5 linked regions of the Cricetulus griseus genome follow. The protein of the gene in region 4 interacts with the protein of the main gene of each other region in a biochemical or structural test. Links are inferred from orthologs where the notes say so. Each region holds a gene or a part of one and is shown on either strand. Other genes may lie near its edges. The genes, in order: Cs, Ccnd1, Snca, Cryab and Cryba1.

The links.
Region 1: the proteins of Cryab (region 4) and Cs form a complex in vitro, tested with the Homo sapiens proteins (3 studies listed by BioGRID). The link is inferred for Cricetulus griseus from reciprocal best matches to the Homo sapiens genes CRYAB and CS.
Region 2: of the proteins of Cryab (region 4) and Ccnd1, one has a biochemical effect on the other in vitro, tested with the Homo sapiens proteins (2 studies listed by BioGRID, with this or other methods). The link is inferred for Cricetulus griseus from reciprocal best matches to the Homo sapiens genes CRYAB and CCND1.
Region 3: the proteins of Cryab (region 4) and Snca form a complex in vitro, tested with the Homo sapiens proteins (4 studies listed by BioGRID, with this or other methods). The link is inferred for Cricetulus griseus from reciprocal best matches to the Homo sapiens genes CRYAB and SNCA.
Region 5: the proteins of Cryab (region 4) and Cryba1 form a complex in vitro, tested with the Homo sapiens proteins (2 studies listed by BioGRID and IntAct, with this or other methods). The link is inferred for Cricetulus griseus from reciprocal best matches to the Homo sapiens genes CRYAB and CRYBA1.

What each region holds. Positions count from the first base shown.
Region 1 is NW_023276806.1:129,531,435-129,534,345, forward strand, and holds part of Cs (citrate synthase, mitochondrial), read right to left. Parts: intron 1,807-2,911; coding exon 1,607-1,806; intron 869-1,606; coding exon 739-868; intron 613-738; coding exon 511-612; intron 101-510; coding exon 1-100. UniProt on the Homo sapiens protein: Key enzyme of the Krebs tricarboxylic acid cycle which catalyzes the synthesis of citrate from acetyl coenzyme A and oxaloacetate.
Region 2 is NC_048596.1:56,400,304-56,404,487, reverse strand, and holds the start of Ccnd1 (G1/S-specific cyclin-D1), read right to left. Parts: upstream 2,811-4,184; coding exon 2,613-2,810; intron 1,213-2,612; coding exon 997-1,212; intron 562-996; coding exon 402-561; intron 1-401. UniProt on the Homo sapiens protein: Regulatory component of the cyclin D1-CDK4 (DC) complex that phosphorylates and inhibits members of the retinoblastoma (RB) protein family including RB1 and regulates the cell-cycle during G(1)/S transition.
Region 3 is NC_048601.1:81,915,697-81,919,868, reverse strand, and holds the start of Snca (alpha-synuclein), read right to left. Parts: upstream 2,806-4,172; coding exon 2,685-2,805; intron 1-2,684. UniProt on the Homo sapiens protein: Neuronal protein that plays several roles in synaptic activity such as regulation of synaptic vesicle trafficking and subsequent neurotransmitter release.
Region 4 is NC_048597.1:162,499,348-162,503,437, reverse strand, and holds the start of Cryab (alpha-crystallin B chain), read right to left. Parts: upstream 2,809-4,090; 5' UTR 2,721-2,808; intron 2,681-2,720; exon of another isoform or gene 2,207-2,680; intron 2,146-2,206; exon of another isoform or gene 2,009-2,145; intron 1,910-2,008; exon of another isoform or gene 1,638-1,909; intron 1,578-1,637; exon of another isoform or gene 1,520-1,577; coding exon of another isoform or gene 1,460-1,519; exon of another isoform or gene 1,383-1,459; intron 1,311-1,382; exon of another isoform or gene 1,187-1,310; intron 1-1,186. Other genes in the region: Dixdc1 (dixin), read left to right, coding at 1,515-1,519. UniProt on the Homo sapiens protein: May contribute to the transparency and refractive index of the lens. Has chaperone-like activity, preventing aggregation of various proteins under a wide range of stress conditions.
Region 5 is NC_048600.1:91,133,345-91,137,437, forward strand, and holds the start of Cryba1 (beta-crystallin A3), read right to left. Parts: upstream 2,813-4,093; 5' UTR 2,744-2,812; intron 1-2,743. UniProt on the Homo sapiens protein: Crystallins are the dominant structural components of the vertebrate eye lens.

The sequences.
Region 1 (2,911 bases), on a different chromosome or scaffold from region 4:
ACAAGGGGTCGTTAGGCAGATGCTTCAGAGCAAACTCCCTCTGACAGGAATATCGTGGGTCAGTCTTCCTTAGTACTGCATGACCATATCCTGGGACAACCTGTAAAGGGCAGGAGGGAGTGGGGAAAGTTACAGAGAAGCATATCCAGGTACATCACCCCCCTTCATTTTAAGGTAATTTGGTCCTGGTGGCTCAAATAGGATGGTAAATCCAAAGCCTGCCTGGGCATTTCAGTGAAACCCTGTCTCAAAATAAAGGGCTGGGAATATAGACCAGTGGCAGAGCAGCTGTCTAGCCAGCAGATGCTGGGGACAAGCCCGAGCAACACAGAAAAGAAAACTAAACCCACCAGGTAAACAGATGTGGAAACAATAGGAAAGGCGGCCTCTTCTGGCTAATGCAGGGGCTGTTTTTATTCTTTTTTTCTCCCCACTTGAGACAAGGTCTCGGCCTGGAATTTTCCTTCACACTGCAGTGTCTGAGTCTCAGTCTTTCTCCTGGTTGCTTACCCGTCCTGAGTTGAGTGTATTCCAGATGTAGTCTCGCAACTTCTCATCCGACACGTCTTTGCCTACCTCCTTCTGCAGCTGTGTCAGCCAGACAAGCACTTCCTACACGGTAGATGTAGGGTGGGGAAGAGGGACATCAGCACACATGTCAAGGAAAGAATGTCAAGATTAGGGGCAGAGCATGTGAGTAAAAAACACACAACAGGAAGCCACAAAAGCTAGGCTTACCTGATTTGCCAGCCCGTGCAGAGGCCCTGCGAGCCCATTCATGGCTGCTGCAAAGGACAGGTAAGGGTCTGAAAGGGCGCTGCCCACCAAGTGGCTGGTGTGGGCACTCACATTACCACCCTCGTGGTCACTGTGGGACAGAAGGCAGAGCCAAAGGGAAAGAAAAGGGCTGGTTATGGGTGACAGACATGGCTTTCCTTTTGCCCCATGGGCTCCCGACACCCACAGCGGTCAGTTGGACCTGCCCTGCTCCCTCTCTCCCCCACCAGTCTTCTTCACCCCACTGCCACTGTTAGGTTCAATGCAGAGCTCAAAGCCGCAGTAGGCAAACTATTTTCAGCTACTGAGCCCATTTTAATGACCATGACCACAAGAGGGCGCTCCTGGAAAGCTGACCTTCCTGGTGAGCAGCTTACCCCTTTCCAATCAGGAGAGATTTGCCTCAGCCTTTCAGCTTTTCTTCCTCATTTCTTGCCTACTTCTCATGTTACAAGATGCTTCTATCCCTCTGCTACAGACCGTCTGTTCCCAGATAATAACACTAAGGAGCTTGTCCTGGCACTCACTCTGTAGACCAGGCTGGCCTCTGCCTCCCAAGTGCTGGGATTTAAGGTATTGCAGCCTAATGCTTTAACCACCACCACCCGGCAAAGGAGCTTTTATAATATACCCCTATCCATCCCGCCCCCCCATTTGCTGGGACCTTTAGTCCTGGCATTTGGGAGGCAGAGGCAGGAGGATCTTTACAAGTTTGAGGCCAGCACAGGCAAGGCTATGTAGAAAGATCCTGTTTCACAAACAAACCAAGAAAGAGTTTCTCATCATTCCAGGCACCTGAGCAGGGATATAATTACTAACTGTAGCTCACCTGTGGATGGTGAGGTACAAACGCATAAGCTCAGTGAACTGTGGTTCAGTATAGCCTAACATGTTGGTAAAATTGTGGGACCAGTCCAGCTTAGAGTCAATGGCACCAATGCTGCTGCCTTCCCGGTAAAGATTCCGGTAGATTTTTGCTGCCACACAAGGGAGCTTTGCAATCAGGTCCATACAATCTTCATAAATCAACTGATGAAAGAAAAGACGGAGAAAAAAAGGGAATTACATGCAAAGCATTAGGCTGCAATACTGTTTTGTTTGTCCTTCAACAGTATCTGGGTTGACAGCAGTATGCTGGGCGGTTCTGCATTTCAGGTATAGAATGACAATAACCATATGCTGAGCAAATGACTGCAGCCGAGGCTTCTAGTGTCTGCAGTGTGTGCCCTACTGGACCTGTCTTGTCCACTCACAGAGGACTCAGGTAAGTATTAAAGGGAGATCTGAACCCTGATCTGCTGCTTTGTGACGTTCTCAGGACACTAAACAGATGTGATATCACTATTATTACTACTGTGTGTGTAAGGGAGCAGGGGCTACACAGGCCACAGCACACAGTGAGATCAGAGGGTGACTCTGTGAAGTCCCTTCTTCCTGCCACCTTTATGTGGGCTCTGGGGACTGAGGTCAGAATTCTAGGATTGCTCAGCTTTACCTGCTGAGCCATCTCACTGGCCCATTTCTAAATTAATTCTTTATTTCTTTATTCTAATGTTTAATTTAATTCTGCATTTTAGTTCCAGTGAAAATTTATTACATATGTTAAGAATCAAATAGTGCTGACCAATTATTGAATAGCAAAAGCTTCAAGGTTTTAGATACATATTATGCTATATATATCATAAGGTTTCGATACCATATACTTTAATAGAAAACTTGCCCAGCATGTAGGGGGGCCTAGGTTTGATATCTGGCAATTGCCTAAAAATTCACCTAAAACATGGGGCTGGAGAGATGGTCTGTAGTTAAGAGCACTTGTTCTTGGAGACGGCCCAGGTTCAATTCCCAGCACTCAACATGGTAGCTAATGACGATCTAACTCCAGTTTCAGAGGGTCAGATGCCCTCTCTGACCTCCACATACACTGCACACATGTGGTGCACAGACATACTTGCAGACAAAACACCCACACATGTAAAAAAAACAAAAAACAAACAAACAAAAACCTTGAAAAATATACCCCAAGAAGAAAGAGCACACAAACTGGCTACTGAAAACATATACACACCAGGCAGTAGTGGGCACGCCTGTAATCCCAGCACCTGGCAGGCAGAGACAGGCGATCTCTGTGAAT
Region 2 (4,184 bases), on a different chromosome or scaffold from region 4:
CCTTGCCTCTCTCCTTCCAACCCTCCCCCAGGACTCTACCAACCCAAGCCCACCCCCATAAATGGGGCCCCTTAAAGACACAGACAGGACAGAAGGTAGGTGGGGGCAGGCAGCCCAGGAACCAAGGCAAAAACCTTTTCAGAAAGCGTGCAGTGAAAAGCCTGGCACAGGGAGCTGGGCCATTCGATTAGGTCTCCAAGGCCCTTTATCGTGGCCCCCAATACCATCTATCCCCAACAAGCTATCTGCCCCTGGGCTCAGAACAGAGATGAAAGGACCCCCTTCTAGACATGCCTGAGACCATCATATGGTACAGAAGAGACAGTAAGGAAACAGGCATTAGCCAAGGAACCGCAAGGAGTCTGAGATCTCCTGGGGAAGAGTGGGGGTGGGGGCCCTACCTGTGGCACAGAGGGCCACAAAGGTCTGCGCATGCTTGCGGATGATCTGCTTGTTCTCATCCGCCTCTGGCATTTTGGAGAGGAAGTGTTCGATGAAATCGTGGGGAGTCATGGCGGCCAGGTTCCACTTAAGTTTGTTCACCAGAAGGAGTTCCATTTGCTGCAGAAAATGGGGAACAAAGTCAAAAGGAGGGCAGGCCGGTTGGAAGGAGGTTTAAAGAGTGGGATAGCCGGGCACCACTGATAGGTAAACAACAAAATGTAGAAAGACTGAGTGGGCAACAAGCACTAGACAAAAAGACCCTTCACCGCCAGCGCTGCGGCTCGAGCGCCGCAAGGGGGCGCAAGCCGTCCACATTTCAGAGTGGCTTCACCGCAGACATGGTGGGGAGTCCAGGAGAGGGGGGCCACAGAGGTGAAATGGGTTTGGGATTCTGTCCACTGCCACTTAGGTGTAGTGCAGTGTGGATGACTTCCGTGGGGTTGGAGATCTACCCGAGGCTGCCTGGGCCTCCTGTCACTTGCAGCTCCCACCACCCGGGGGGGGGGGTCATGCAGATAATGAGGGAACGCGGGTGGTGGGGTCCTTGGTTACCAGCAGCTCCTCGGGCCGGATAGAGTTGTCAGTGTAGATGCACAACTTCTCGGCGGTCAAAGGAATGGTCTCCTTCATCTTGGAGGCCACGAACATGCAGGTGGCCCCTAGCAGCTGCAGGCGGCTCTTTTTTAGGGGCTCCAGAGACAGGAAACGGTCCAGGTAGTTCATGGCCAGAGGGAAGACCTCCTCTTCGCACTTCTGCTCCTCGCAGACCTGCGGGGACCGGGACCGTGACCGTGACCGTCAACGGGGGGTTTTGGGGGGTGTCGCTCGATGTGACCCCGTATCTCTTTCCTAGATTACACAGAGCGAATACGTGGCGAGAGCACGGAGAGGGGTCGCGGTGGCAAACTCCCCGGGAGGCGCGGTGCTCAGTACCCACCCACCCTGAAACTGAAAGGGAAAGTCCCTGGGCAGCTGACGCGGGGAAGCTCAGCAGCGGTGACCACGGAGACCCCGACCCAGGTTGGAATTAGAAGGCCGCAGGCTAGGGAATCCCACCGCGGGGCTGGCAGGGCGCCGGGGGTTGGGCGCCGCTCGCGCGCACGCGAGACACAAAGGTGGCGTCCCAGGCCGCCGCGCCTCATTTCCCAGACGTCATCTTTTCAAAAAATATTTAAAAATATTTAAAAAATAACTAGACGCCTAAAAACGGCTCGAAAATAACCATCGGGCGACCCTTTATCCAACCCAAGGGTCAGGAGTTCGGTGTACGTTGGAGAGTGAGCCCCAGCAACTCAAACTCTGGGGGCCCCCCTTTTGCTGGGTGCGGGTGCCGTTTGCCTCTCTGCAAGGGCACCACGCCGCACTTCAGAAATTATTTAAAAATATTTTGGGGCTCTTGAAACTCCCGCTAAGCATCTGGAAATGTGCTCTGGTCCCCCGGCTTGACCTGGATAGAAACCCCCAAGTTCAGACCCGCGCGGACGACGGTCAATCTCTAGCGACTAGGGGGCCACGCGACCTTGCAGACTGGCGTGCTCACTGGGCCAGGCAGCCTGTGCGAGGGTGCTCAGGGGTCTGCTACTTGAACAAAGGGTTCCCCCCAAATATCGATCGCTATGTCCCGTTTGGTGATTCCTGGCTGCCGCGAGGCCCCTCGTGCCTGTCCAGCGCCCCCGCCGCCGCTCCCCGCCCTGCCCCCAATTATTAATAAACACTTTTGCTTTGCAATAAAGGAGCAAAGATGGCGCATAATACTGACACGAGCGGGCCTTGCATACGTGTCCACCGATATTAATTTAAAAATCAAATCTATGCCCCCTCCCCCCCGAGCTGGCGGAGGAGGCCACCGCCGAGGCGCAGCAGGAATGGGGCGCAAGCCGGGGGCTACAAAAGGCGCCCAGCCCGCACCCTCTGGGGTGTCCCTGCCATCGTCCTCCCTCGAAAGCCCTCCTCCCTGACTGCCCCCCACCAAGAAAAGGAATCCCCATTACCCCAACTCCTACACCTTCCTCGTTTAAAAATACCGGCAGTATCTATTTATTTTGAGAATCCGATTCCTAGCAACACTGCGGGAAAACTCCGTGTCTGAAGGGAAGAGAAGGGAGGAAGATGTGGGTGGGAGCAACAAGTTGCCAGGGGTCCCAAGCCAGAAGGCTGTAGCCCCTCACCTCCAGCATCCAGGTGGCCACGATTTTCCGCATGGACGGCACAATCTCCCTCTGCACGCACTTGAAGTAAGACACGGAGGGCGCGCAGGTCTCCTCGGTCTTGAGCATGGCTCGCAGCACTCGGTCGTTCAGGAGGTTGGTGTCAGGGTACGCGCGGCGGATGGTCTCCACTTCGCAGCACAGGAGCTGGTGTTCCATGGCGCGGCCGCCTGGGGAGGGCTGTGGTCCTGGTTGGGCTCCGGTGGCTGCTGCTGGCGCGCGCTGCCTCGCGCTCTACTGCCGGTCTCTGGAGCGCGCGGAGTCTGCTGCTCTCTGCTACTGCGCCGACAGCCCTCTGGAGGCTGCAGGACTTTGCAACTTCAACAAAACTCCCCTGTAGTCCGTGTGACGTTACTGTTGTTAAGCAGAGATCAAAGCTAGGCAGAGAAAGGGAGGAGGGAGGGACGGGGCGGGCGCAGGGGGAGGGGGCTCGGGAGCTGCAAACGGCTAGGGGACAAGCCCAAAGCGCCCCCCCTCCAGCTCGACCTTCGTAGATATGCAAATCGCTCGGACTGCTTCTCTCCAAGCTGGGAAAAAGCGGTGCGAGGGTGGTAGTGGTGGGGTGTCTTCTTTCCCCACTTTCCTCAGAAGTGGCTCCTCTGAGATCTGTGGAGGGGGCGGGGGAGGGGAGCTCTGGACAGGACAGCTAGGAGGGAGGCCAGGCCACACGCAAGCCAGAGAAGACTGAATGGATGGGGGATCTTGGGGACCCAAGGACACCCTATATTCAAGCCAGGAGAATGGGCACGTTTCCGAGGACGCCACGAGGGCACCCACGGGCGGACGGATTGCTTAGAAATCCCGGCGTCCCCATCTTCTTTCAATTTCATCAACACGTGTAAAATTCAGGAACTGTTCAACAAGCGAAGATGCTGGACGTACCCTAAGCTCCGGTGCAGGCTCCATCCTAGTGCACTGGGGGTCTTTGCAAAGGGCCAGAGATGTAGCCTAGCATGCACTCGCTCAAAAATAAAATCTCAAAAATCCCAGCAACAGTTCAAGATGGTGGCCATTATTTCTTTCATCCAATCCTCCTCGCGGGAGGAATCTTCGATTTGCCTTCCTACGGTGACCAGTTCATTCTGGCCAGGTTCCTCCAGTGCGGGCGATTTACCCAAGAAAAATAAACCTTTGAAGGAAAGGCTGAGACACGATGGGCTGTTTCCTAATTTATTTTTTAATTAAGAAAACTAAATCACTGCAAGTATTAGTCACCTTGCCAGGAACCAGACCACCGGAAATTTTCCGATAGGCTTTGTTGGGGGTGTGGCCGTTCCTCTACCTTTAGAACCTTAGTTGGGGCGGCATTCGTGAGTTCCTGGGGGGCTGGTCGGAATCAAGACAAATGTGTGCGCCTATGTGATGCGTAGAGAAAACTTACAGATGTTCGTGGTTACACGAGTGGATTCCCAATATTCTCTTAATACTTAGTCAAGTAAAAGTTTTTAGGATGAAAGGGTTCCACCACCTAAGTCTGTTAATCCCCTTTTCTTTAAAGTTTTCACAATCCTGACCCCAACTCAGGAGAACTAG
Region 3 (4,172 bases), on a different chromosome or scaffold from region 4:
TGCCACTGAGACAAATTGTAGCCCAGATTATTTCTAATCCTTCAGGCTAATTATTGATGATAGTTTTATATATTTGGTGAAAAATAAGAGGAAATCATGTTGAGTGGAATAGCTTATTTAATAAAAATCAAGTTTCCTAAATATGAAAGTGCACTTGGTTACACATTTCCACAAAAGCTCTGCAAAGGAATTGTACTTTTATGAACTACATTATTTGTGGAAAAGGGAAGGAAATTCAAAGACATTAACTTCCTCAAGATCCTAAAGGTAGAAGTGATGTAGCTTGTATTAAATTTATGTTTGTTTGATAAGTTATAGCCCAATTCCCTTTCACTTTTTTCTAGCCTATAAGTTAACCCCAGCTTCTTGTTTTGATAAATAAAAACTGAAACAGCACCACACTGGTTATTGCCCATGGTTGCTTTCACACTTTAACAGTAGACCTGATTATCTGAGACAGATTGGCCGAAATAAGTTTGAAAATTAACAAAAGTTGACCAAAATCTTAACTTAATTCTTACCTTTAGACCTCACTTTTCATAGTAAATTCTATGCATGTGTTTGGCTTTTTTTTGTTTGTTTGATTGGTTGGTTTTGTTGAGACAGGGTTTCTCTGTATTGCTTTGGAGCCTGTCCTTGAACTCTGTAGACCAGGCTGGCCTCAAACTCACAAAGATCCACCTGTCTCTGCCTCCCCAGTGCTGGAATTAAAGGCATGTGCCACCACCACCCACGTTCAGCTTTTAATTAGACTCCAGAACATAACCAGCAATTGATTAATTATATATGTATTAAATATAACAACATTGATAATTTTAGTAACATTAGACTTATTGAAACATTATGCTTTTTACATAATTGCCTCGCAGTGAACAACAAAATTAATCTTTGAAAAATCTAATCACTTTATTTGCCTAAACTCACAATTAACAATAAAACATGAAAGTGTTCTACTTGATAAGATCTGTTTATTAACTAGAAAGAATAATAAATTAATATTCAGTAACTTCTACATTTGCTTAAAATTAATGCTCTAGCTGGAAGGTGGTGACACATGCCTTTAATCCCAGTACCAGGAGGCAGAGGCAGGTGGATTTCAGTGAGTTCAAGGCCAGACTAGTCTAAATAGTGAGTTTCAGGACAGCCAGAACCATAAGAGAAACCCTGTCTCAAAAAAAAAAAAAAAATTAAAAAAGAAAATTAGGTGACTAGTTGTCTAAAAAGAAGAAAGATAACATTCACTAAGTAACTAATTAAAAAATGTAGTCATGGGTCTATAGTTGCAGGATGTGGGAGACTTTGAGGCCCTGAAAAATCTACAAATAACTGATTTTATATTCTGGATTCTATCAAAAACATTGACCTCACTGTTCCCAAAAGAAGCACTTGACTCACACCTTTCTCTTTTAATATTCATTTCAAGACTTTCTGAAAGGTTGTTTTGAGGTGGAAAGGGAGTCAACATAAAAACAATCTATGAGGAATGAGCAAAGGTGATATGCTAGAAACTTTGAAAGTTCATGAAAGGTTTTTTCCCACTAATCAGTTAGAGCTGGAGCGCCAGCACAGCTTCCCACTTTTGGTAAGTCTCAGTCTCAGTGTGTGGCCTCTCTGTCACCTCTGCCACTTGTCTGTTCCATTTCCATCTTAAGGTTGACCCTTTGCCTTCTACTGAGATAGAGGCCCCCTAAGAAGGTAGGGAAGCTCAGAGAAGCACAGAGGGGGCAGGTGAGTCATGCATCCTTGCTCCCTTGTGCACCTGGGTCTCTGCTGGAGATGAATGTGCATGCATACATATATGTCTTTTCCCTCCATCAAAGTACTGGAAGTGCAACCAGTTTAACACAGGGAAAGCCAGTAAACAGTGTTGACCTCTGTCTCAAGGTTTACACTTAGGCACAAAAGGCACCGAGTATCAACCTCTTGCTCTTTCCTGTGTGCATCATCCAGGTGATTACACAAACACATCTGAGGTTCCTTGAGCTTCATCTCAAAAGGGAGATCCACTAAGAACAACTTGCCTTTTTTTTTTTTTCTATTGGGGGACCAAAGTAGGTGTATTTTCACAGATATTAAATACAATCATACTACAGTTTTATTTTTAAAATTGCAATTAACAAGTATTATCTATGGTGATGATGAAAGAAGCCAAAGTCCCGTGAGGGCCTGGGACTCCTCTTGTTTTGTTTTGTTTTGTTTTGTTTTGTTTTGTGATGGGATTTCATGTAGACTGGACTGACCCTGAACTCACTATGTAGCTAAAGATGATCTTCAACTCCTGACCCTTGGGCCTCCATGTCCCAAATGTTGGGATTCCACATGCCACCATCCTGCTGCTGTAAATGGGTCTGATTCATAAGCATATTCTTAGTTATTTTTCATGGGTTGCCAGTTTTAAAAATCCCAATGTGCTCACACACACACACACACACACACACACACACACACACACACACACACACAGAAACATGGAAAACCCTAAGTAAGCAATAAAATTAAGTATTCTAAGGAAAGAAAACATTGTTCCCATTTGTTTCTGAGAGCTAACAAGCAGATTCACAATTCTCTCACCTCCACATACCTGTCACTCTCCTGAGAAGCAGCTATGTGCATGAATCAGACACCACATGCCAGCACTGAGTGATTAGCCACTCCAACTCATCAGTCACGGCACCACTACCTACCTACATAGAGGACTCCCTCTTTTGTCTTTCCTGCTGCTTCTGCCACACCCTGCTTGGTTTTTTCAGCAGCAGCCACAACTCCTTCCTTGGCCTTGGAAAGTCCTTTCATGAACACATCCATGGCGAAAGATGTCTTTTCCTCCACTCTAGAGAATACACAATACACTTTGAATTAAAAATTTGAGTAAAAGAAAACAAGATTAAAGCAGCTAGAATGGGAAGAATTTTTTTAAAAATCAAGGAAGAAATCACTGAAAAATCAGTAGAGACCCCCCCTCCCCAATCTCTGTGTAAATGAACACTCGTTTTTTTTGTTTGTTTGTTTGTTTGTTTGTTTGCTTGCTTGCTTGCTTGTTTTGAGGACTGGGCATGGTGTTGCTTGTCAGCTTTTTCACTCAAATCTAGGAAGAGTCAAGCCACTTAAAGATGGGATGGATCCAGATGGATCACCTGGCCATTCTTACAGCAGCTGGAAAATGGAGTTACATGGCAAGATGGGTGGACTCTACCCCATCAAGTTCCCAGGGCCTAAAGGCGACATTCTAAGTAAAAAGCTTGTCTAGAAAACCAATGGAAGGGGGTACTGAAGTCGGGGGCAAGGGTAAAAGGACTCAGAAAGGGGTTAGTAAGTGTTTAGTCTTAGGAGAGGGGAAGGAAGGGAACTGCTTACTTCAAGATGAAGGGAACAGCACGCCAACTGTCATCAGCCCAGCTGTTCAAATCTAACAAGACCTTCCACCCACTGCTAGCTCTCCAGTCTGTTATCTGCCCGGAGCAGGCGCTGTCCACACACTTGAGCCGGCTCACTTCAGCTCTACCCAACCTGGGGGCCCTGTCCTCAACTGGAATCTGCTTGAAAACCCTGCACCCCCGTGCTCATTAACCCCTTATCACCTGTTGCCAAGTGCCTTAGGCACTTTTATTAATCACTGGCCAAATGTAGCCTCCTTACACTCCAGATAAGAGATAGAACGTGCCCGGGGTGGGGGATGAAAGTTGGATGCTCAGGTTTCTCCCAACGCCCAGCGCTCAGCTTCCAGGACCCAGCACCCAACACGAAACACCCTGGCGTTTCCGCTCGAAAAAGCAGATGCCACGAACAGCCTGGTTTCCCCTCGGGCTTTGGGAGAATGGAAGAGCACGTCTCTAGCGCGAGGAAAGCCAAGTAATGTACTTTCAATGCACTGGCCGTGTCCCCACCGCTGAGGTAGCCTCAGCTGGAGATCTCCCAGGCATCGGGACTCCTCTTAGCCAGGGTTCTCCGGGATCCCCAGAGCTGCTGCTATCTACAGGTACTTACCGGCGCCCTTGGCTTCGCAGAATTCAGATTCCTCCTCTCTGCCCCTGATCTTATTTCAGTGGCAGTGGAAAGGAAGGCTCTGGGCGGAGGGGCAGGGGCAGCACCTGCTGGTCTCCTGCCGTCTGCTGCTAGGCGCTCTGGCTCCCCGGCTCCTCCACGTCGCCCCCGCAGCTGATTTGTCAGCGCCT
Region 4 (4,090 bases):
AACCCCTTAAAATAAGGTTTGCCTTTCTTTTTTTGAGTCCAAATCTCACTATATATCTGTGGCTGGCCTGGAACTTGCTATGTAGACCAGGCTGGCCTTGGACTCATAGAGACCTTCCTGTCTCTGCTTCTAGAGTGCCAGGCCTGAAATATATATATATATATATATATATATATATATATATATATATATGTTATTGAAAGGATCACACATAGCTTAGGCTGACCAGAAACTGGCTATGCAGCCAAGGATGACTTCCGATTCCCTGCTTCGAGCTCCCAGTAAAGGATCACAGGTGTACACCACCACGCAGTTATTTTATTTTTAGAATTAATTATTAATGTGTGAGACAGCATGATGTGTATATGGGTGCATGTACCAGAGAAGAGTGAGCTCTCCCTTTCCACCTTTAACATGGTTCCTGGATTGATCTCAGGTGCCAAGCTTCTGCAAGAGCCTTTATCCCCTGAGCCACCTTGCCCACCTTTCCCCTTACAGCAATTATTTTGAAAAGAGAGAAGAGATACATGTGGTAAAACCATGGCCATCCTGAATCATCTTTGATGTTTTTGTTGTGATGTTATGATTTGTTTAGCACTGTTCAATTACTTACATCCCCAACAACCACCACCACCACCCCAGCCGCTCTCTCCTGATTCCTCCTCTTTTTTTTTTTCTTGCCCTTCTACTTCCTCTGTTAGGTTGCCTCACATGTGGAAAAAGGTTGCTGAAGAATGGGGTGGGGGAATCCTGTGACTCACTCCTTTTCCCATCCACCTTGTGGTGAGGTGCTAGCAGCCTTAAGAGAGCAGAGTGAATGTGTGTGTGTGTGTGTGTGTGTGTGTGTGTGTGTGTGTGTGTGTGTGTGTGTGTGTGTGTGTGTGTGTGTGTGTGGTGAGGTGCTAGCAGCCTTAAGAGAGCAGAGTGAATGTGTGTGTGTGTGTGTGTGTGTGTGTGTGTGTGTGTGTGTGTGTGTGTTCGCCTGCGTGTGCGTGCGCACGCGCGGGGATGCCCGTCTCCAAACCTGCAGTGTAGTGATTGTAAGCATATGCTCGTGCTGGCAAGCCCACTTGTGTCAGCATGGGTGTGTAGGTGTGTACGCGTGTGTGAGTGCTCTCCGCGCGCGCGCGTGCGCGCGCACCAGTCCGGAGCGTGTGCGCGCGCCCTCGGATTCCCCCGCACTCACGGGCTGCCCGGGGCTGGCCGCTTGCCTCTCGGTGCCTGCCGTGCGCGCCTGACTGTTTCTATAGGAACCAACACGGCGCCAGGGCCCCTCCGGCTGCGGCCTGCGCGCGAGCATGCCCAGTGCAAGCCGCTAGTTTGGCTCGGCTCTAGGTTTCCAGTAAGTGGCATGCGGGACTCAGGAGAGATCCCAGGGAGCTGAGCCGATTGCCTTTGTGTGCAGAGGGAGGAGGAGGAGGCGGCTCGACCCCACCCGGGGAGCCCCACGGCAGGAACAATGCTAGCCTGCCTGACCCGCGGGAACTTACTGGACGTCCTGCAGGAGGGCTTCAATGAGGTAACTGCCCTGCTCCTCCCACCCCCAGCTCCCCGTCACCCCACGCCTCCCGCCTAATCTCCGGAAGGGAATCCTGGGGCGGGGGGCATCCTCTGGGGGAGCCCAGAACACATCATACGTCAGAGTTGAAGAGCCTGGGTACAGAGCCAAGGTGGTGGGTGCGGTGCAGATAGATGCAGGAACCTGAGGGCATCAGAAGGGCGGTGGGCCTCTCTCTAAGCTGAACGATTACCTTCCTGAGTGCCGAGGACAGTGAGGACCACAGACTTAAGAAGGCATCTCCTTGCAGGAAAGGTGGTCCCCACGCCTCTTGGGGACTCTCCAGGGACATCCTTGAGGGAAGCCCTGAACAGGAGGCAGCTAGCTCTTTCTATTTCAGGAGCTAACCGGATGAGTCACGGGAGGGGTGTGGTGGTGTGGCATTGGTAGAAAGTTTGAGAGGGCAGGAGACTGCGGGTGGTCCTTTCCACGTGTGAATTCCCTGAGTCCTGCGCCGTTATGTCCTCCACCACCCAGGACAAGGTTGTTTGAGAGGAGCAACCTGGGTCACAGGCCCAGTTTCAGGAGCCAATATTTGCTCCCCTCTGTGAGAACTGCTGTGGGGGATCCTCAATCTAACAGGAAAGGTGAGCTAGGCTTGACTCAGGCTCATTTTCTCCTCACAAGTTTCTCTCAGAATTCTGTTACCTCTTTCTTCCTTTTGCTTCTTTTGTGATCCAGTCGATTCTTGTTTGAGACCATTGCCATTCCATTTGCCCCCACTCCTCCTCACTCATCCTTTTGGTTGCCTTAGCCCAGCAGCCAGGAAGGCTTAGGCTATTGGTCATGGCTTCCTGCCCACTTTTCCCTCTGTGCACCTCTCCCTTCTCCATCGAATTTTTAAATTTAAGATCTCTTGGGGGAGGGGGTTGGGCATGCTATGAAAGTGTTCTACCACTGCCCTACTCCTCTACCCTTTAAGGCAGCAACTTGTGCTTTTAAAATCAGTTTTTAGTCAGATAACATATGAAAATATAACCCTCCACCCCCAGCACTGGTGACTGAACCTAGGGCCTTGCATATGACTAGGGGCTAGACCACTGAGCTACACCCTAACCTGATATTCTTCTTAAATATTAACGTTACAGGCAAGATGGAAGAGTCTTTTGTGCCATTCCCTGCTTCCACCCCCTTCCCAACCTTTCCCCTAGAGGCAACCAACCATTCTCATGAATTTCCATGTAGGATTTTTTTTTTGTCTCCAGCTGCACGACAGGCTCCCTCCTTGATCGCTGTTTCTAATTAAGAAGCCCTGAGTTGTGACCTGCCTTAGAACCTACCCCAGTTCTGCCCTCCTCCCACCCTGTGCCCCAGCCTTGTTCCTGACACAGACAGAGAAAAAAAATCCAACGGAAATGTTCTGCCAGTGTGACCAACTGTGCTGGAATTTTCCTTTGGCTGAGGGGTGTTACAACCTTCATCAAAGGGCAGAGCTTGTATCCTGCCTGCATGGCTGGCCTCCTCATCTTCGCATCACTTCTCACTGAACACATGTAAGGGAATCGTTAACAAAGAGCTACAGACCCAGAGGTGAAACACAGAAGAGTCAGGAAACACACCTCTTTAAGTGCCTCCAGTACTCCCATTCATCTCTTCTCACTCTCTGCTCCAGGGCCTTCTCTGGTCCTTAGCTGTGTAAATCCTACCCATTCATCAGTTGTGGCAAAAGTCCCTTGGTCCTCCAATGCCCTTCCCCCTTCTCTGTTTTAACCCGGCTCTTTGGTGTCAGGACCCACCTTCTGATTAGAAGGTGACGGGCACAGGGCCAAGTCCTAGTCTTTGCTTTCTGCTGGTCTTTCATTTCTAAATCTTCATCTGAAGACCCATGTGAAAATGAAGTGGCCTGGCTATCATTTCCATGACTCTACATAAATATTGCATAACAGCACAGTTCTTCCAAAACAAGGGGAAGGGGGAGTAAAAGATATTTCTTCCTGTGCTGGTAATAGAATATTTCTAAAAGCAACAGTCAGACAACTTTGCAATCAATTCTTCTGTTAAGAGCCATTCAGTAATATGCTCCTGTGGTATTTGAATTGTCTACTCTTCCCATAAACTGCTCTCTCTGCAGACTCATGTTCTCCTTAGTAGTAGAGTCCTTAGTAGATTTGAACTCTGAAAAACAAAATAGCACTGTGGTTTTATACCTCTAAATAATATAAATATTAATGTTAAATTTGAATGATTCCTTAGTTAACATAAATTCTCATATAATACATTTTCTTCTTCCCACCCCACCCCCATACTATCACACAATCATGTTACTGAATAACAGGACAAGTGAAGCAATTGGTATGGTTGGTGGGAGCCTTGTTTGATCTATTCCAGGCTCAAGGTTGCTTAATAGGCCCAGTAACATTCAATCTCTTTTGCTAGAGTCATGTGATAAGACTAACTGGGGACTTAAAAGACAGTGTCAGAATACACTTAGTTCCTCTGAGAAATTATTTCTACTGAGACTAAGAATACCACACATGTATTCAGCCACCTCTTGGGAATAATCTAAGTATATCTGAAGCTATCCTTCATCAC
Region 5 (4,093 bases), on a different chromosome or scaffold from region 4:
AGTTGGTACATGCTTGTAATCCCAGCCTGGAGGTGGAGGCCAGCCAAGAGAAAAAAGAGAAAATATCTTTGCAGCCTTGTAAAGACCTAGAGTCTAGAGCTGCACGTTGTAAGATACAAATAACTGGACCAGGTACGATTTGTCCACCTGCAGCTTGGAATGAATATATCTAACAGATGGACAGGCAGGGCGGTGGTGCATGCCTTTAATTCCAGCACTCAGGAGGCAGAGGCATCTCTGTGAGTTCGAGACCAGCCTGGTTTACAAAGTGAGTTCCAGGACAGCCTCCAAAGCCACAGAGAAACCCCATCTCAAAAAACCAAAAACAACAACAAAAAACAAAACCAGAACAGGTGGATAGTCACCCTGGAGGAGCTGTCATATGAAGTCGTGTTTCTGTTAGGTATATTGTGTGTGACACTGGTTTACTGCTGGTAGGGGATAATTGGCTGAATGGAATTCAAGAATATTGGAATTTGTCCTGCTGACCCAGGATCCTGCTGGCTACCCTCCTGATCTTTCATCTCTGACCACCAGGGGGCATAAGTCTGGCTTCAGAGCACAAGCATCCCCAGCCCATAGGGAAAGCACATTCCCAGGGGAAGAGGGATCAGAGGCACAGGAAAGACTTTGCTAGAAGAAAAGATGGGAGTTTTCAAAGTGTGGTCCACAGGATATGCAATTAAAAAGCAGTCCTGATTGTTATTTGAGGCCTAGAGAGTCAGACTCTGTGGGACAGAGCCTGGGAATTCTGTGAAGCAATGCCAGTAGCCATTCCCTCCTATTCCCAGAGTAGGACTGCCTGTATTCAGACTACTTGGGCTCAAAACTGGCTTTGGCCTTTTTTGTTTGTTTGTTTGTTTTTGTTTTGTTTTGTTTTTCAAGACAACCTCTGTATTGGAGGTTGTCCTGGAACTCGCTCTGTAGACCAGGTCAGCCTCGAACTCACAGAGATCCACCTGCCTCTGCCTCCCGAGTGACGGGATTAAAGGCGTGCGCCACCAATGCCAGGCCAGCTTTGGGCATGTTAACTATGTGATCTCCAGTAATTTAGTCAATCTACAACTCACTATTATCTTTCAGGCTGACACAAAAACATATGTAGCTCTTAGAATTTCTATGAGCAGGACTAGAGAGATGGCTCAGAGGTTAAGAGCACTGCCTGATCTTCCAGAGGACCCAAGTTCAAATCCCAGCACCCATATGGTGACTCACAACCATCTGTAATGAGAACTGATGCTTTCTTCTGGTGTTCAGTCATGAACGCACATAGAACACTGTATACATAGTAAATAAATCTAAAAAAAAAATTGCTAAGAACAGTAAAGGAATCAATTTGCATAGAGAGTAGTACTGGAAGCACCTATCTCTATAACACAGACACACACACACACACACACACACACACACACACACACTAAAACCCAGAGCTTCACACATGCTGAAAAAGTACTCTACCATAGCACCAAGTTACATCCATCAAAGTCCTATCTTAGCACTTACACCTTTTCTTTCTTTCTTTCTTTCTTTCTTTCTTTCTTTCCTTTTCCTTCTTGTTGCCTTATAGACAGGGTCTCACTGTGTATTCCTGGCTGTCCTTGAACTCACAGTGATGTATCTGCCTGTGAGGGCTGCTTTGAAGGAGTTGAGAAGCATTGGTGGTTGTGGGTGCATGCCGGAACAAGTGTCGGGTGTCTGGTCTTTATGATACCAGTAGATGACACCTGCGTCAAGAAGCAGACTGTTGGGTAAGAGAGTGTGAAGGCCTGTGATTGTGTCACTTTGCTTGGCGGTGGTGGCACACACCTTTAATCCCAGCAATCAGGATGCACAGGCAGGTGGATCTCTCTGAGTTCAAGACCAGCCTGATGTACAGATTGAGTTCTAGGACAGCAAAGGCTACACAGAGAAATCATGTCTCAAACAAAACAAAACAAAACAAAACAAACACCCCCACCCCAAAAGAGTACATGTACTGCTCTTGCAGAGAGCCCAGGTTTGGTTTAAGATCCCTCAACAGACTCCCAGCAACCACCTGCAATACTAGCTCTGGGGGACCCAACGCCTCTGATCCCTGAAGGTACCCACACTCACGTACACCCATCTACAGACACATAGATAATTTAAAATAAAATAATAATCTTTTGAAAAGGAGACGGCAGGAATGACTGGCGACGGCCTCGGGGCCCAAAGAGGGCATTTTGAAGCAGGGACCTTTGTGGGAAAATGGGGAGAAGAGAAACAGGGTGAGGTAAGAACTTAGGACGTGGCTCTCCTGCCAGGGTTCTCCAGTAATTAGCTTGCTTTTCCTGATAGGCTTTTTCTTTCAGTTTTGAAGTGAGGAGAAAGCAGGGGGAAAGGGTTAGTGTCCTGTACCCCGCACTTGGTGAGCCTCCAAATATTTAAATAATTTAACCTTAGTTAAAAATCATTGCACTACAGAGACAGCTCAGCAGTTAAGAGCACTGGCTACTCCTCCAGAGGACCAGGGTTGTATTTCCAGCACCATATAGCGGCTCACACAGTCTATAACTCCAGTTCTAGGGAAACTGACGCTTTCCACTTCCTTACGCAGCAGGCATGCAAGTGGTATACAGACATGCATGCCGGAAAAACACCCACATGCATATTTTTAAAATCCTTAAATTATAATCGTAGTTTCAATAATAACCACGTGAGGGGTAGAAGAGGAGAGGAAGGATGAGGGGCGTCCTTCTGTATGCTGTGAATATGTTTCTCTTACTGGTTGATGAATAAAGCTGTTTTGGCCAATGGACAGGCAGGATGTAGCCAGGCAAGACGTATAGGCGGGGATACCAGACTAGGAGAATTCTGAGAAGAGGAACAGAAAGCATGAGTTGTGAGAGTGATGACTTGTAGCTGCCACGGAAGAAACAGACCCGAGCATTACCAGTAATCTAACACCACATGGAGATACACAGATTAACAGAAATGGGCTAATAATTAAGAGAGAAATAGCCACTAAGAAGCCTGAGCCATCCACAAAACAGTTTATAATTAATATAAGCCTCTGTGTGTTTATTTGGGATTAAACAGCTGGGGGACCTGGCCGGACAGAAACTTTCATCTACAGAGGAAGGCCTGCAGTATCCTCATTTAAATCAAAATAGAAAACTGGGGAAGCCAGGAGGAGTGCCTTTTTGATGAGGATGTGGGTCTGACACCCTCCAGCCTAGATCCCTGCCCAGGAGACTCAGTCCCTTCACACTTTGGAAAAGGAGAGAGACTTATAGTTGTTTTGTTTGTTTGTTTGGTTTTGGTTTTTTGAGACAGGGTTTCTCTGTATAACTTTGGAGCCTATCCTGGCACTTGCTCAGTAGCCCAGGCTGGCCTTGAACTCACAGAGATCCGCCTGCTCTGCCTCTCGAGTGCTGGGATTAAAGGTGTGCGCCACCAACGTCCGGCTTGTTTGTTGTTTTACTCTAAGCTATTTTGGGGGACCCACCACCCAGCTCCCAAATAATCATATACAGAGGCTTATTCTTTTTTATGAATGCCCAGTCTTAGCTTGGCTTATTTCTAGCCAGCTTTTCTTAAATTATCCGTCTACCTTTTGCCTCTGGGCTTGTATCTTCCTCTGTTCTATATATCTTTCTTTACTTCTTACTGTGAGGCTTTCTAGGTAGCTGGGTGGCTGGCCCCTGTCGTCCGTCCTCCTCTCCCTTTCCTCTCTTGTTCCTCAATCTTCTCTTCCCAGATTTCTACTTCTATTAATTCTCTCTACCTGCCAGCCCCCCACCATCCTTTCTCCTGCTTTGCTATTGGCCGTTTAGCTCTTTATTAGACCAACCAGGTGTTTTAGACAGGCAAAGTAACACAGCTTCACAGAGTTAAACAAATGTAACATAAAAGAATGCAGCACAGGCCAAGCAGTGGTGGCACATGTCTTTGATCCCACCACTCAGGAGGCAGAGGCAGGCAGATCTCTGTGAGTTCAAGGCCAGCTTGGCCTACAGAGCGAGTTCCAGGACAGTTAGGAGAAACCCTGTCTCAAAAAACCAAAAGAAAAAAAAAAGAAAGAAAGAATGCAGCACATCTTTGCATCGTTAAACAAATATTCCACAGCATAAAT